Linked DNA regions of Lonchura striata. The protein of the gene in region 2 interacts with the protein of the main gene of each other region in a pairwise test. Links are inferred from orthologs where the notes say so. Each region holds a gene or a part of one and is shown on either strand. Other genes may lie near its edges. The genes, in order: WTAP and WT1.

Region 1 (8,218 bases), on a different chromosome or scaffold from region 2:
ACACCACTGACAATTTACACAGCACTCTACCAAACAAGGTCCAGGTTAGCAACAGACAAACCAGCACTCACACTCCCTTCCTATAATAAATACTGACATTAGAGCCCACAGAAAGAAAACATTCAGTAGAAGTATGTCACTAATGAATGGCAGCTTCCTGTTAGGCTTAGTAACACACAGGCAGCTAAGTGCTTCCCTGAACTAAGTCACACCCCCTTCACTCCCCCTCACAAGGAGTATTTTGCTTGAATTTCTGCATGCAGCTCCTTATTTGAAACTGTTTTACCAAAAACATACCTCAAATATAAAATACAAGCATAAGAGGCTGCCGATACAAATTGCCAGTAGCCAATTCAATCAGAGTAACTTGAGATTACAGAGGGAATGCTTGTGACCCCTGTATTTAGGCTGCCTACTTTCCCCACTGTAATTTTTCCAAAGATTTTTAGAGTTTTTAACTCCTCTGAAGGTTGGTAGTATTGAAGATCCCAGCTAGTGTGAAGTTCCTAACAGAGAGAAACATCCTTTTCAGATGTCTCGCACAACTACAGCTAACACTGATTAAATGGTGCACACAGAGTCATTACATGTGTGTTCCCCAAACATGTACCAGAAGCATACAAATACCAAAAAATGTGAATTCCCCCCAGACACCTGGCTTGTAGCTCCTGCTGCAGCATGCAGCAATTATAAACATATGATTGCTGCCACAATCACGACTACAAGAAATCAAAGGTAAATGCTCCATCCAAAGGTAGTCAAACGCTGCTTTTCCAGACCTCACACAAAATTCCAGCACCAGACCAGGCTGCTCTAACCTCTACACCCAGCACATCACCATTTACAAAACCACCTCTTGCTTTCAGATGAGCACAAAAAACTGAAGTTATGGGCCACTGCATTACAGAAGTCACTGCCTTACTGCCACCTATTATTACTTGCTATGATAGAACCACACATGCACCAAAAGTATTTTATTTTATAGATTATTCTGGACAAGTTAAGTTGATAATATTTACAGGTAAACACTTAGTGCTCTTTCCACAAATATTAATTTCACTTTGCTATTGACCTGCAACAGCTTTTTGGGAACCTGGACTAACTTAGCAGAAGCTGAAACATTTATTACTGCAGTATACTGCTATCGTTGTACTCCATGTTCCTCAGAAACAGCAGCAGCTGTCACGGTGATTCGCCTCAGTTTTCTGTTACCAACAGGTGAACCCGTGTGCTACAGGCAACAACCGCAACGGAAACGTTCATTCTTTGAATCTACTACAGTAACTTCTCAAGCACTGTGCGTCAAGAGATGCTTCTTATCACTCGGCTCTCCTCTAGAAGAGATCATCTCTCTACTACCCATATCAGAAATATCTTGCAAGAACAAGATGAAGTATCACTTTCTACAAGAATCAATGTAAACATTCCTGCACAACTGACTGGAATTAACACAATTGTATTTTGTGATTTATATCATGAACAGTTTAACTGTACTATCCTAAGCACTTTCATGATTTTGCAGAAACAGTAGTAGCCACACACCACTCCTGCATATCTGCTCCTGGCAACAAGCAACACAAAATCACATTCCATACTTAGAATAACGTTGTCACAGACACTAAAAGAATTTTTAGAAAAACTCTATGTTTTAGGCTTCTATGGCAGTTTCAATTAAAAGAAATGTAAAATGAGGAAAGTACATTTTAATTTTAGTAACTCTGATACAGGCCTCCATACCTTTCTCTACAGTGTTTATAAAACACAGGACTTAAAAACTTTTTTGAAAACTTCAATGAGCAAAAGTAATTGAATCAGGTATGAGGTTTTACTTGTTATATGCAAACTGAAAGTTATTTTAATGATACCGAGAAAGAGTTCTGTGGGGAAAACCCCAGTATGGGCTCCCAGCTCCCAAAGTACATACGTGTGTGCATATATATACAAACATGTAATTTACAGAATCGTTAGAGCTGGAAGGCACCTCTGGAGATTACAGTCCAACATCCCCGTCCCCACCAAGGCAGGTGACACAGGAACGTGTCCAGGTGGGTTCTGAATGTCGTCAGAGAGGGAGACTCCATGACCTGCCTGGGCAGCTGTCCCGAATGCGTGTGCCTGAGATTGCTCAAAAGTTTCTCAGATCACAACACTGCAGCCTGGAAGGAGGTTAAGGGGGAATGCACCACCACAGTAGCCTGTTCCAGTATTCTGCCGCCCTCAATGCAAAGTTCTTCCTCATGTTGAGGTGAAACTTCTTATGTTTTAGTTTATGGCCACTGACCCTCGTCCTGCCCCTGGGTACCATTGAGAAGAGTCTGGCACCCTTCACTTTAAGACAGCGCCTGCCTTTAGGATATTTGTATGTACTGATGACAGCCCCTCTCAGTCTTCTCTCTCTCCTAGAGTAAACAGGCCCAGCTCACGCAGTGTTTCCTTACAACAGAAACATTCCAGACCCCAAATCATCTTTGTGACCCTCCCTCGGACCACCTCCAGTACCCCCTTGTCTTTCCTGTACTAAGGAGCCTTCTGGCGCTTAGAATGAGAAGCTTCACAGTATCCCCGTAAATGGCCAGCCCTCACACTCGCCTCAGCCACCGCGGGGGTCCCGCCCCCCGGGGCCGCAGCCGCAGGTGTTCGACAGACCCAGCTGCTGCGGCCGCCCCCCGCCCTCGCTCCGCGCCCACGGGGGAAGCGACAAACGCACCCAAGGCAGGGCAGGAGGATCCCGGCCGCGCAGCCAGGCCGGGCTTTGGGGCCTCGTACAAAATGGCTCTAAGTGCTTCCGCTCCTCCCCCCGCCGTGCCCGAAGCGAGGCACGGAGGCGCCTCTGGGGTTCGGCACCCCGGGACTGCGGGCTGCCCGGTCCGTCAGTCCGTCCCGCTGGGGCGGAGCGCCCGCACGGCCACTCACCTCCCGCCTGCGGCGCGGAGGCCCCGCGCCCCTCGCACGCCGCTCGCCTGGGCCGCGCTCCGCCTCACATCGAGCAGGGGAAAAACGCCGCCACCTCCACGCCTGCCGCCACCAGCACCGCGGCCAGGACGGCCGTGCCCCCCCACCCCCGCCCGAGCTCCCCCGCACGCCGCTCCCGCCCGCTCTTTATTTGCGGGTTCTCTGCGCTACAAAATGGCGCCCAGGGAGGAAATGAGCGCCCGCCCCGCCCCGCGCTCGGAGGCTGCGCGCGCACCTGGCGTGGAGGGGCGGCGGCGGAGACGAGGAGACGCTCCGCAGCGGGGCAGGGCCGCGGCGCGGCGCCTCGGCCCGCCCGTGGGGCGGCTGATGCAGGGCACCGCCGCCCGTCCAGCTGGGAAGCGGAGGCTCCCGCGGGTTACTCGAGCGCCGGTTTAAAGCCCGTGGGCGAACGGGCGGCGCAGCGCTCGTATCGCTGGGGCGCCGCGCGGCCTCCTGCCGGCGGGGGGAGCCGCTGCTCGGCGGGAGGGGCAGCGCCGCCCGTCTCCCGCCAAAGCGGCTGAGGGAGCGGGCCCGGCGCCTCCTGGGAAGAGCGCTTGGCGCCTTCCCGGAAGGCTGCTGGAGAAGATGGGATCCCTGGGAGGGAAAACTGCGTGCAGCAGTTCATAGAGTGCAGGATGGGTGCCAGGCTTCTCGGAGCGACTGCCGGCGCTGCCTGCCCGCCGCTCGGCGGCCTCGGTGCGAGTCAGTGTCCTCAGCCACTAATGACAGATACAAGATTTAAATTCCAGCTGCTTCCAAAGTGAAACATCAGTGTCAGTGCTGCGGAATAAAAACCAATGAAGTTTGTTCTTCGTTGCGGTCTACCTCCGAGCTGGTGCTTTAAAATAAAGTTTATCCTTCTTACTCTCTCTGTTTTCACAAGCTGTGCTGTTGGGTAAATACTTTTGCCTTTTTGTTGGCAAAGTCGTAAAGCTGCTGCAGACTAAATCAGTCTGACACCTGACTTGCACAGATTAAATTGATTGTCACTCACTATGTCAGTGCTAGACGTGATCCAGAAATCTCTCCTGATTCTTACTGGTAGCAAAAACAATATAATCACTACAGAATAGAACCCAGTACACGTGGTCCCATACACACATGTACGCATATACATGAATACACAGATTTTTCACTGAGAACTTAAAACGTTTAAAAACCACACTGTAACTGATTTGACATAGCTACCTGAGGTAGGGTGGTAAGGTGACCACAAGGAGAAAGAACCTGAATAAATGCCTTTGGAATCTTACCTCATTTGAAAGTGAAAAGAGACACACTGTGATTAGTGTACAGTTACCTGCTCCTGATTTTCTTCAAGATACTTGTTTTAAGCATTCAAGATACCAATTAACAGATGAAGCCATCCCGGGATATGGCAGCATGAGAGATGCACGTTAGTGTAGGCCTTAATAAGAACATTAATGTAGCAAATTGACTTGATTTTCTCATGTGCAAACATAAACATCACAATACTAAAAATGCATATAAACCAAGCAGAAGAAGAAATCAAAACTTTTTCTACATAAAATAGATGCTGACATACACGCAGGGCAGCTTCTATTCTGTGTATAACATACCTAACACTTTCTGTGTATCAGTGGTGATTTAACTCAAGATCTCCCAGTACTTTGTCTAGAGTTTGGCCACTTTTTATTATGTTCAGAAACCAAACCTCCTTTGTGTCTTCTTAGTGGTACAGATAAAGGTCTAGCTCACATACCCTCTAAGGTATGGGATGGTAAACCTTCCACAATTGTTTGTGTTCATGAGCATGTAGAAAGTATTCCTGCATTTTTTACCCCTTGTCAGCACCTAGTTATTTTAAATTTATCTTTACAAGTGTAGATTACAATTGTGGGAAACATGCTAGCTGAGCAAGAAGCAGGCAGCCAGAGACATGTAGAGATAAGTGGAAGCAGCCTGCAGAGCTTAATATTCTGGGCTGCCTTCCTTCCATACTTTCAAGCTGGTAAGTGTATTATCAGATTACACCTATAATTTTTGTTTAGGGAAATAATGTTAACAATTTGGCAACCATTCCTCTGATACCTTTGGGAAGAGGACATTTAACTGAAATACTCTTTTGATCTGTTTGCACATCACGTTACACAGTGAGAACTAATCTGGGACTTTTTAGTGCTGCTGGATCAAACATGTCGACACCCGCCTTGGGTTGTGTTTACAGTGTGGTAACTGGAGTAAATTAGCTTTTCAAGTAATAGGTGGTATCATAACCCCCAGCAGCAGCATTGTTCTTTGGATGAGAAGGCACATCATGATCTGTCCAAGCATCAACACAAAAACCAAATCCATATATTGATTCACCTATAATGATAAAATGGAACATGAACCAGATTATGAATGAGTGGGCAGCACAGCTCACTGGGTTTTAGGTTCCTTGAATGATGGTGTGTTACTCATTAACTTAATTATCCATTAACTGGATGGCTCCTCCTTGGTTTTACAGGCTCAGTTCTGGGTTTCTATTCCACCCCTTGGTTTCACAAGGAAACCCTGTGGACCAACACAAATACTACAATGTTTCCCAGCTCTGAGGGATGCTATTTGTCTCTGAGGAAGGCAGGCTGTGAGGGAAAACGCTTCCTAGTGTAAAACATTCATTCAAAAAATCAGTCTGCAGGTGAGAAAAGTGAGGATTAGGGGGGAAATGACATAAAGCCTTTTTCAAAAGCAAAAAAGAAATAATGTTTGGACTACCATACATCCTCTTGGCATTTTAAAGGACCTTGAAATATCAAGAACTAAAGAAAGGCCAGTCAGCTCTTGCAAAGGCTGTCCTTGACTTGCAAGGGCAGGAGATGGAGCAAGGCAAACCTGTGGTACATCTGCAGCAGAGAATGAGCACTGGAAAAGGCTGCTGCAGCCTACAGGTGTAGGAGAAAGATAAAATCTATGGATTGCACTGAGAGGAAAGTGTTGCAGAGAGATCCTTCAGGTAACTACTAGGTAAAGATCTAGGCTGCAGAAAGTCCAAATTTGACATCAGAGGACTCTCTTTTAGAGAAGCTCCCTGAATGCTAGGCTGCAGGCTTAATGCTGTCTTTATATCCCCTGCTAACATCCTTTTATGGGTCTCAGTGGAATTTTCCTCTATTTTTCTTACATCTTCATAGCAAGAAGTAAATTAACTTCTTCAGAAAGCTCTTGCAATAATTACATTTTATTTAACAGCAACTATATATATATATATATATATATATATATATATATATATATAGTGAGTCTGTCCTGTCCTGTCCAGAGCCTGTCCTGAAGACATTCCCAGAACGATAATCCATCCAGATACAATTAAAACCAAATGGTGACTCATGTTAAATTCGTTTTTGGGAATGCTTGATAAATACTGCAAGCTTGCTTTTGGAGTACAGGTGTACATATAGTTGCTAAGGATATAAGCCCAGGTGTTTACTATAATTTTTTTTTAAACCATAGAAAGGCCAAGAGAGTTTCAGTAGTGCAAACGTTTTCCTGTCTGAGGGGAAAACAACATTTTTTAATTAATCACCAATTAGATTACAAACATTCCCTTAGAAAAATGGATTCAAGGAAAACAGAGATTGTTCTTAACACAGACAAGGACATTTCATTGTCTTGATTTCCAAGGACCCTGTCAGTCAGGTGGGGGATTGAGAAATTTTAGAAAGAAAATGTAGCTCTTTACCTCACTGGGAAAACAGTGTGTCTGTCAGTTTTTAAAACATGCCTTATGTGCTGAAGCTACTCATAAACAGCTGAATGTTAGTCCACTGCTAAGAAAATCTGGAAAAAGAACTGTCTTTCTACACATGAAGAAAGGTCTTAAAGTACTAAAGGCATCCAGAAAGATGGGAAAGGCATCCCATAGCAGATGGGAATTCAGCAGTACCAATATGTGTATAAGACTTTATAGACTAAAGAATTTGCTGTTACAGGAAAGTTGTGAAACCTATTAAAAAATAGAATTATCTCATCTTGAGATTTATTTATTTAAAGTAATTGGATTTTGTTTGGTTCTTTTTCCTTTAAGAGGTGCAGCTTCGTTTTTATTAAAATCACATACCCAACAAACCTGTTTTTGCAAATATTCATTGACCAAGTGTCAGATTTAAGAAAAAAAAAATCAACAGCTTTGCTTTATGGTAACAATACTGATCTTTTAAAAAGTCAGATTTAGAAAAAAGTTATTTAGCAGGAGAGTAAATCAGTGAACAATGAAATCCTTTAACTTTTCATCTATTTCTAATAAAACTGAGCCACCATTAGAAAATGAAAATGCAAAAATCTTTGCACCTTGAATATTTCATGGAAGGCACTTGTCCATTTGATTGTGTTCATAGCAAAGTAGTAAATAAACTTTGTGCAATAGATGGCAGGTAAGATTTCTGTTCTGAATTCATGACTTCATTTCCCAGAGTTTAGATTTCTGAGAAATGGCAAAATGTACCAGCATAGGGCAGTAGTTTGTTATTGAGTATTGTGCTGCTCATTAACTACATTGAATTTAAAAAGCACAGCTGCCTACTACCATTCAGGAATGTTTTTTTCTGCATTTCAATGACTTAACTTTGATCTGTATCATGCATATTTCATAATTATTTGCCTTTGTGCGATTGCTGCGTCATTTTGCTATGTCACATGCCCCTTTTGTCCATTTGGATCTCAACCCTGGACACCATCCAAGCAGAGTTAAATAGAATACTGCAAGCCTGATAGACATACCAAGATAAAATTATTCTCTGTTGGTTTTGGGTGCTCCAACCTCACAGCCTGGTTTGTCACTAATGTTGAACTGCAAAACTGTTCTGCTGGTTGGGGCTGAGAGCAAAGGTACAGCAGGTCAGCTCACTGGGGTGAGCCTGAAGGCCCTAAGGCTGCTTCATATTTTAACTTTTTCTGTCTGCTAGTGAACTGTGGGGAGGGAAGGGGCTGAAGCCTCACTTTATGTTCAATCCAATATTTGTAAACTTTTAAATTCAAGAGAATCCTGTTCATAAGGCTTACTTCGGGTGTAGTATCAGCTGTGGACTTTGAACACCTGCCGACATTTAATCTGAGCTCATCTCATGTTATTGACTTTGTATTTCCAACAATGGCCTTAAGTTGTAATCAGTCAAATGTTGCATTAAGAATGGCATATTGGTATATGGTACAGTTGATAAACAAGGTTACTTGGTGCTACCCTCATATGTCTCTTACTCACTCTCTACTGAATTTTGAAAATGTGCAGAAGACTACATTCAGTCATGCAGGGTTGCTCAGGAAC
Region 2 (7,654 bases):
TCCGTAATTAGTTCCAGCGTTTCCAAGATTTACGGTACAATAATGGCCCGAGCCCCGCCGGCCGGGCCCGGCCCGCCGCTCGCCGCCGCTGCACGGCGGGGTCGGTGCTGGGGAGGCTGTCCCGGCGGAGCGGGGCAAGAGCCGGGGCCACGGCAGATGTCCGGGACCCCGCGGGGCTGCTCGCTATCCCCGCACCCGCCCGCAGTGCCCCGCTCACGTCTGCTTCGGGGAGGGGTCGCGCATCTTTGCTTCTCCGTGCACCAAAAACAACTTTTCTACCCACAGGGGATAAACCAAACGTCCTCTAGGCAGCACGAAAGCGTTCCCGGGCCCACGTCAGCCCGCACACGGAAGGCTGGTCCCGCCTTGCCGGCGGCTCCCGGCTCCCGTGGTGCTCGCAGCTCTCGGCAGCGAGAAATGAGAGATTGGGCCCGCCGCGATGAATTCCTGCCCCTGTGCCCTCTGCGCTCCTGGAGACGCTTCTCAGCTTTGTTTCTGCTGCTCTTAGCGCTTAAATAATCAAACTCTGATCAGCTCCCTGAGTGAAAGGAGACAGATCCCCTGCGTGCTGTGAGCGGCGTGAGCAGGAGGGGAAGGGCTGGAGATTTATCTCTGGTTCAGTCAGTCTCGCCCACCTCCGAAACGTGGGGGGATCGTTTTAGGAGTTTCGTAAGAATTACCGGTCCATTCCTTAATTGGTTAGCATGGCAGAGGTAAAATTTCGGCTGGGGAGGTGCGGCAGCGGTGCTCAGGTTGAAGCAGCTTCCCGAGCCTGTTGTTCTCGTGTTCGAGTGGGACTCGCTAGAATAATCCTCCTCCAGCTATTGTTTAACCTGGCAGAGTATGCCTTCGAGCACAATCGAAGACTGAGCGTTATCAGGAATTGCCCTAGCTATGGAACAGCGGGCAATGAAGCCTGTCAGAGTTTTGGATCGGGCCGTATTCGGAGGGGACAGGGCAAAATGTTCCGCACCGCCTGGGTCTGGAAACCGACAAAGGAGATGCTGTCCCTGAACATCTCCCTGTCTCCTCGGCCATCGCGTTCAACTGGGCACCCAAACCCACACGCGGGCGCCCGGTGTGCGAGACCTGGAACGATTTATGCCGGAATTTGTCTGGAAGCGGGGTCGGGATCTCTGGGGAAGAGGTGGGCAAAAGTCTCCTGCAAAGAAGGAGCAGCTCCTCTCAGCATTCCTCAGGGGGAGCTGCTGCCAGCGTTCCCGGCCTGTGTTGGAGGTTTCTCTCTTTCCCTGGCGCTGGCTAGACGGAAACAACTAGGCAAAGTGGCACTGGCCGTCTCCCAAAAATCCTCAGCCCATCCCGAGACGGAAGGGTCCGGGCTTTCCTGCCCCAGGACGCCCCCGGACGCGTTCGAGGTGGGCGCGCTCCGTGTCCCGCACGGCTGAGGCGGCCCGGGAGAGCGCAGGTGCAGCACAGGGCTGAGCTGAGCTGAGCTGAGCTGAGCTGAGCTGAGCTGAGCTGAGCTGAGCTGTGCTGTGCTGTGCTGAGCTCAGCTGAGCTGAGCTGTGCTGGCAGCTCCTGACTCTCCCCAGCCTCTCCAGCAACTGCGGGGAGGAAGGATGCGCTAATGGCCAAGGGGTCGTCTTGTTTCACTGCTGGAGGGTGCGAGGGAGAAGGTTTGGACAGACTTCGGCAGTTCTTCCAGGTAGAGTAATGCAGAGTTAAGCGATCAAGTAAACCTTTCTTTCCCTTTTAAGATGATTTATCAAGCTAGGTTATTTCAAGAAAAGACAAAACCCCCGTGCTAGCTCGAAAAACAGCCCACTACGGGAAACGTATTTTCTGCTAGCTCCTAGAGAGCGCTAGTTTTCATGCGAAATCAAATACCCCGCTTAGGCTGGCCAAAGAATTCCATTCCTATATGTACGATGTCCATCGCAGAACTGGAGATCATAAAATCGTTTAGGTTGTGAAAGACCTTTAAGGTACCCAGTTCAACCAACCTCGTGTATCGGTCCGTCACAGAAACGAGCAAAGCCAGCAGCAGCCCCTGTGCCGATCCCGCAGCTCCCCGCGGGTCCCGGGCAGGGGTGACCGCGGTGTGCGGGAGCCCCGGTGCGGCCAGAGCGGGAGGCAGAGCGGGAGGCAGCGCCGGAGCCCGCGGGCAGCAAGGTCAGCGCGATTTCCCCGCACGGGCTGCATTCACAAGTGCCGTCCAGTGTGCTTTAGTTTGCCGTGGGCTCTGAGGTGGCGCGTCCTGTAAACTTAGAGGATATTTAATATCAGCGAAAATAATGAACTAATCTTTCGCACTTACGCTATACGTGGATTTTTGTAATAAATAGATGTATGTGCCAAAAGAGAAATTTTTAAAGGGAATTACCTGAAATAGTTTGCGAAAAAAAAACAATTTCACTAATAACAAAAACCGAACGTTATGGCTAATAAGTTTTAAGAGAAAATGAAATTATACTTGGCTGCTCCAATAAGGACCTATTTTAATTTCTATTGTTGTAGCCTTGACCCTTTGAATCTTAAAACACCTCTTCAACGTTGACGATGCTTGCGGTAACCTTTGATGCCGCGAGGGAAAGGAAATCCCGAGGTGCGCGCTGTCACCGGGCGGACAAGGGGCTCGGCGTGTCCTGCGGCAGGTGAGCCTTCGCGGCGCCTCTGTCGCTGCTGTCGCCGCAAAGGAGGGTGAGGCTGAGGGCTGAGGCCGCGGGGGTGTCGCCGGGCGGCGACCCCGCTTGGCGGTGCCACGGCTCTAACAGCGGCCGGTGACAAGGGACAGGGCGGCGGGGCCGGTGCGACCCCGCGTGCTCCGCGAGTACCCTGAGCCGGCAGCTGCCCCACGGCTGCCCGTGAAAGCGGCACCCCCCACCCCCGGGTGGTTATCCATCCGTAGTTATGCGGGAGGGCGGCAGGATTCCCCTCCCCGCCTTTGGAGAGAGCGCGTCCTGCCCGCGGCAGGTACCGCGGGGCTCTGCCGCCCGCCCCGGCGCTTCCTGCCTGGGCAGTCGCTCTAGGTGGGCTCCCGCACCGCCAGAATCACGGCACCCCTCGGGGCCGGGGCCGACACGAGTCCTGCCGTGTTTCTCGGCAGGAAGGACAGCCCGGGGATAACGAGTCGGGTGCCTTTGGGGGTCCTCCGGCCGCCGCCCCCGGGATGGACGCTGAGGAGCCGCTGTCCAGGAGGCTGGAGAGCAAAGAGGGACTCCGGGCCTTCCCGGGAGCAGTGCCAGGTGAATCTCTCAACAGCAGGTTACTCACAGCGCTGCTGTCCTCCCCCGCCCGCCCAGCTGCTTCCTTCCCCTCGCACACAGGCAGGTCCGAGGCACCGGGCTAGGGCCGGGCTCACGCCGGCCCCGGGGCCGGTGCAAAGGGCTCCCAGCCCTCTCCTGGCCGGCGGAGCCCTCGGTACCCCGGCCCGGCCAGCCCTGGCGACGTGCCGCGGCCCTGCGCCCCCAGGGACAGGGAGGGGTGCGGGGGGGCCGGGCAGGCAGCTCGCACCCCGCAGGAGCTCATGGAAACGCAGGATCCTCCCGTAGCGGGAAAGGCACCTGGAAAGACACTTTCTCCTCTCAGAAATGGGGTCCGCCCGGGCCGGGTCGTGTCACTTCCCCTGGTTCCTGCAAGGGCGGAGGCTTCTCCGCGCGGTCCCCTGGGCCTGCGACCTCGCCGCCCTCGGGAATCCCCACGGACATGCACGGAGCTGGCGGGGGAAGTCAGCCAGCACGTACTTACTGGCCACCTGGATCCCTCTAACAAGTCCCGCAAGTCTCTCCTAAAGCGGAGGAACGTTAGGGTGAGATTTAGTGGCGCTTGCACCAGCAGAAGGGTGGGAGTGATGTGTAGGGGAGATATATTCTCCCACAGTCACCTCTCCCCCTCCATCCCCGGCTCTCCCGTGTCTCCCCTCCCCCCGCGCGTCTGGTCCGGCTGGGTTCAGCAGAGCGGGCTGTGGGCAGCCCCTCGGCGGAGGTTGTGTGAATGGAGGATCGGCGTGGCTGACTCCTCCTCCCCTGCAAGCGCCTCTATTTGAGCTTTGCAAAGTTGAGGGTTGAGCAGGCATCCGAGGTGAGGCGTGCGCGGCGGCTGTGCCCCCCTAGCTCGGACAGGCGGACATCCGTACAGACAGACACACGCGCGGACACACAGGCACGCACACCGCACCCTGCCCTGCGCTGCGAGCGGGTGCAAACCCGGAGGCGATCCTGGAGAACAACCTTGCCCTGTCGCTGCTGCCGGCTCCCGCAGGGCTGGACCCGGGGAGCTGCGTCGCGGAGCAAACTTCCCCCAAAGGGCTGAGCTCGCCGGCCTGGTGCCTGCAGCCGGAGCCGGCCTCCGGCTTGGCGGGCAGGGGCCAGGTGTCTTGGAACAAGTGCGGCCCGGGGGGAGACTGGCTGCCCGGCGGCAGGCAAAAGGTCTGCGAGCAGATGGGCTCCGACGTCCGAGACCTCAACGCGCTGCTGCCCTCCGTGCCCTCCCTGCCGGGCAACAGCAACTGCACCATGCCGGTGAGCAGCGCGGCGCAGTGGGCGCCCGTCCTGGACTTTCCCCCGGGGGCCTCCTACGGCTCGCTGGGGCCGCACTCCTTCATCAAGCAGGAGCCGAGCTGGAACGGATCGGACCCGCACGAGGAGCAGTACCTGAGCGCCTTCACCGTCCACTTCTCCGGCCAGTTCACGGGCACGGCCGGGGCTTGCCGCTACGGGCCCTTCGGCGCCCCGCCGCCCAGCCAGCCGCCCTCGGGCCAGGCTCGGATGTTCCCCAACGGGCCCTACCTGCCCAACTGCTTGGAGAGCCAGCAAGCCATCCGCAACCAGGGTAAGGGCCGCGCTGCCGGGCGCCCCGGGCTCGGGGGACGGCCCCCGGAGGCGCCCGCTCAGCCCGGCAGGGCCGCGCCTGATGTAAACACCGAGGCCGGTCCTTCTCCGCGGCGGCCGGGCCGGGTTAGGCGAGCCAGCCCTGCCGTGCCTCCCTTCCCTCCCTGTGCGGCAGCCGCGTCGCACCCGGGAGCTTTAGGAGCCACGAGTTGCTCGGCCCCCACCCCTCCTGTGGGGCAGCGGATGCAGCGGGCGGCTCTGCCAGGCGGGCTGGAGCCCCCCGGCCCCCTCCCCGGGTTGGAGCAGCCTCTCGCCTTCGCAAAGGTTTGTTCGGGCCGGAGACGACACAAGTCCTGGAATGGAGCTGGAGCCCGTGGCCCGAGACAATTCCCTCTGCATATCTCGGGGGTGATGGGGTGGTGGCGGGGGTGAACCTCCAAACTCCCTCCAGAATCCGAAAAGGGCTGTCCGCACGCTGGTGTTTTCAAGCCCCTTTTCGAACGAACCTCGGGAGGGCTGAGTATTCCCGGGTGGAATGCACAAGCAGGGGCGACTCGGCGTTTCTTGTCTGCATCTCCGCGGCCGGGACCGGCTGCGCCGCAACTCCCTGCGGTCCCCGGTGTTCGCACCGTCCTGAGAGGCTCCCGAGGGTTGAACGGCCGGGCAATGGGTCAGCCGCGTGTGGCGCCGGGTCAGCATCTAAATCCTTTTTCTTCCAGCTCCTGCAGTATAAACATTTGCGGGCGCGAACGGGAGGAAGAAAGGAAAAGGGCCCAGCGTGCGAAGAGATCGCATGAGACATTGCGGGTCTCATTCCCCCTCCTTCAGCTGGCCCCGGAGTGGTGGTGTGCCGGGGTTTGCCCCGCACTGCCCGGCCCCGGGCGAGGCACCGAGGGGAGTCGGGCAGCCGGGGCGCCGCGGCTCGGGGGACGGGGAATCGGCGGAGTGTGCGTGGCCCTGCCGGAGCGGGATGAGTGGCCGGGGTCTCTCTGCTTTTAGGATGGGGTTCCCCGCACCTAGCCCGCAGCTCGGGATTGCTGTGCCCCGCGGGGGCAAACCCACAGAGCGGCTGGGACAGACCGTCCCGGGAAGGGCCCGGGCGATTCGGGCTGCAGGGCGTCGGGCAGAGCAGAGGCCGAGGCCGGCGCCGGCAGACGCGCTCGGTGCTGGCCGCCGAGGTGTGGCCGAGGCCCGGGCGATGCTTGCAGCGAGGGGCAGGGGTTGTTCAGCGCGGACCTCCCCCGGGCAGTGCCGGGTCGTGGTCCCGCTGCTGCCTTCGACCCCCGGCCCCTGCCCCATGGGTTCGCCCGGCGCCGGGCTCCGATGTAGGAAAGAGCAGAGCGGGGCTTCTGGGTCGTGCTGCCGATCCCGGCTGGGAAAATGGGTGGCATCCCTGGAGCTGGGGAGAGGCTCGGCCCTGCCGAGGCCCCGGAGCCGCTGCGTGCCCTGCGGGGTCCCAGCTCCAGCTGCGGGACGGGAGGGGAGCGGCCCGAGCCCGTCAGGACAGGGACTCTGACGGGGACCTTTGAAAGACATGCGAAACGGTTTTAGACATCGGAGGAGATTCCAAATAGCTGGACGGAAATAAGGACAAGAAAGTGGAGAGAAGGACGAGGGAGATAAATTCGAATTAGCGAGGGACAAAATAGCTGCGACTTCGCGCCGTCCTGGCGTCCGGTTTTCCCCACCCCGGGGAGAAACGGAGCCTTTAACGCCCCAACACACGGAGCCCACGCCGGGCTCTCCTCGGGCCCGGCGCTCCGCGGGCCGTGCTCCGCCTGCGGCACCGCAGGCACCGCACAGACCCCGCACACAGCCGCACCTGTGCGGGCCGGGGCCGGCGCACCGAGCCCTCCGCACAGCCCCGGGCATCCCGGCCCGGCAGGAGCCCGGCGACGGCGCCGTGGCGGGAGCAGGGGCCGTGTCCCGGGCCGGGGGGTCCCTTCGGCTCGGGGCTGCCTCCCGCACGTGTAGCCCTGGGGCTCAGCTGTTTTCGGTGGCACGCAGACAGAGGGCTCCTATGGCAAGGGGATACTCGGCAAAGGCGTTTGCTTGCCTTTTTTTTTTTTTTTTTTTTTTTTCTATTTTGTGGATGGATAAAATGTTCTTGCTTTGGCTCTCCTCAAGGTTGAACTCTTTTTTTTTTTTTTTTTTTAGCGGTTCCTCCGACCGTGGGAAAGACGCTACCTTGGCTCTGTGATGACATTTCTGCCAAGTCTGGGATGGGATGGGGTGGGGGGTAGGAAACTAAGGCTTTGAAACCTCTGCCCAATTTTCCTCTTCTTGTTTGCCTGCCTCTTTCATCCAGCTGGGCTCCTCCAACAACTGGATGCCTCCAGCGGGCCCCGTTCTCCAGCAGATGTACAACTTTCAATTATTTTCAGCACATTTTAATCAGGCCTACTTCTGATAACGCCCTAATTAAAGAGACCTCACTATCGGCAGCTCGGTTCAGAACTCAACTTTCTTATCGCATTCCTGAAGCTTTGGGTCAGGCAACACCGGAAAATGCGGCCAAAACCTCGTCCTGCTCCGAGCTGAGTTTTGAAGGTCACCGAAACTCTGTGGCGGGCCAAAAGTAACGTAGAAAGTGTCAGTATTTTCTGAAAGCTAAAAAAGAGACAGACAGAGGGAAACGGGGAAAAGGGAGTAGAAGGTTGAGCCTCTACCCTGAGGGCTGAGGGAGGAGATACGGAGCGAGGAACAGCTGTGGGATGGGAACCCGTTAGGTACCGGCCTGTCAACGCTGCCCGCGTCCCGGCGAAAGGAGCTCTGCTCCTGGGGTCAGGGGGATGTGAGGGACATTTGGCCAGTCCCGCTCCTATGCCAGCCCTGAAGTCTCAGGGCCGACTTAAAATCACAGC

The links.
Region 1: the proteins of WT1 (region 2) and WTAP interact in binary tests that used the Homo sapiens proteins (3 or more experiments, as listed by UniProt). The link is inferred for Lonchura striata from reciprocal best matches to the Homo sapiens genes WT1 and WTAP.

What each region holds. Positions count from the first base shown.
Region 1 is NC_134605.1:57,861,263-57,869,480, forward strand, and holds the start of WTAP (pre-mRNA-splicing regulator WTAP), read right to left. Parts: upstream 3,056-8,218; 5' UTR 2,914-3,055; intron 1-2,913. UniProt on the Homo sapiens protein: Associated component of the WMM complex, a complex that mediates N6-methyladenosine (m6A) methylation of RNAs, a modification that plays a role in the efficiency of mRNA splicing and RNA processing.
Region 2 is NC_134608.1:60,255,775-60,263,428, forward strand, and holds the start of WT1 (Wilms tumor protein), read left to right. Parts: upstream 1-4,400; coding exon 4,401-4,791; intron 4,792-7,654. UniProt on the Homo sapiens protein: Transcription factor that plays an important role in cellular development and cell survival. Recognizes and binds to the DNA sequence 5'-GCG(T/G)GGGCG-3'. Regulates the expression of numerous target genes, including EPO.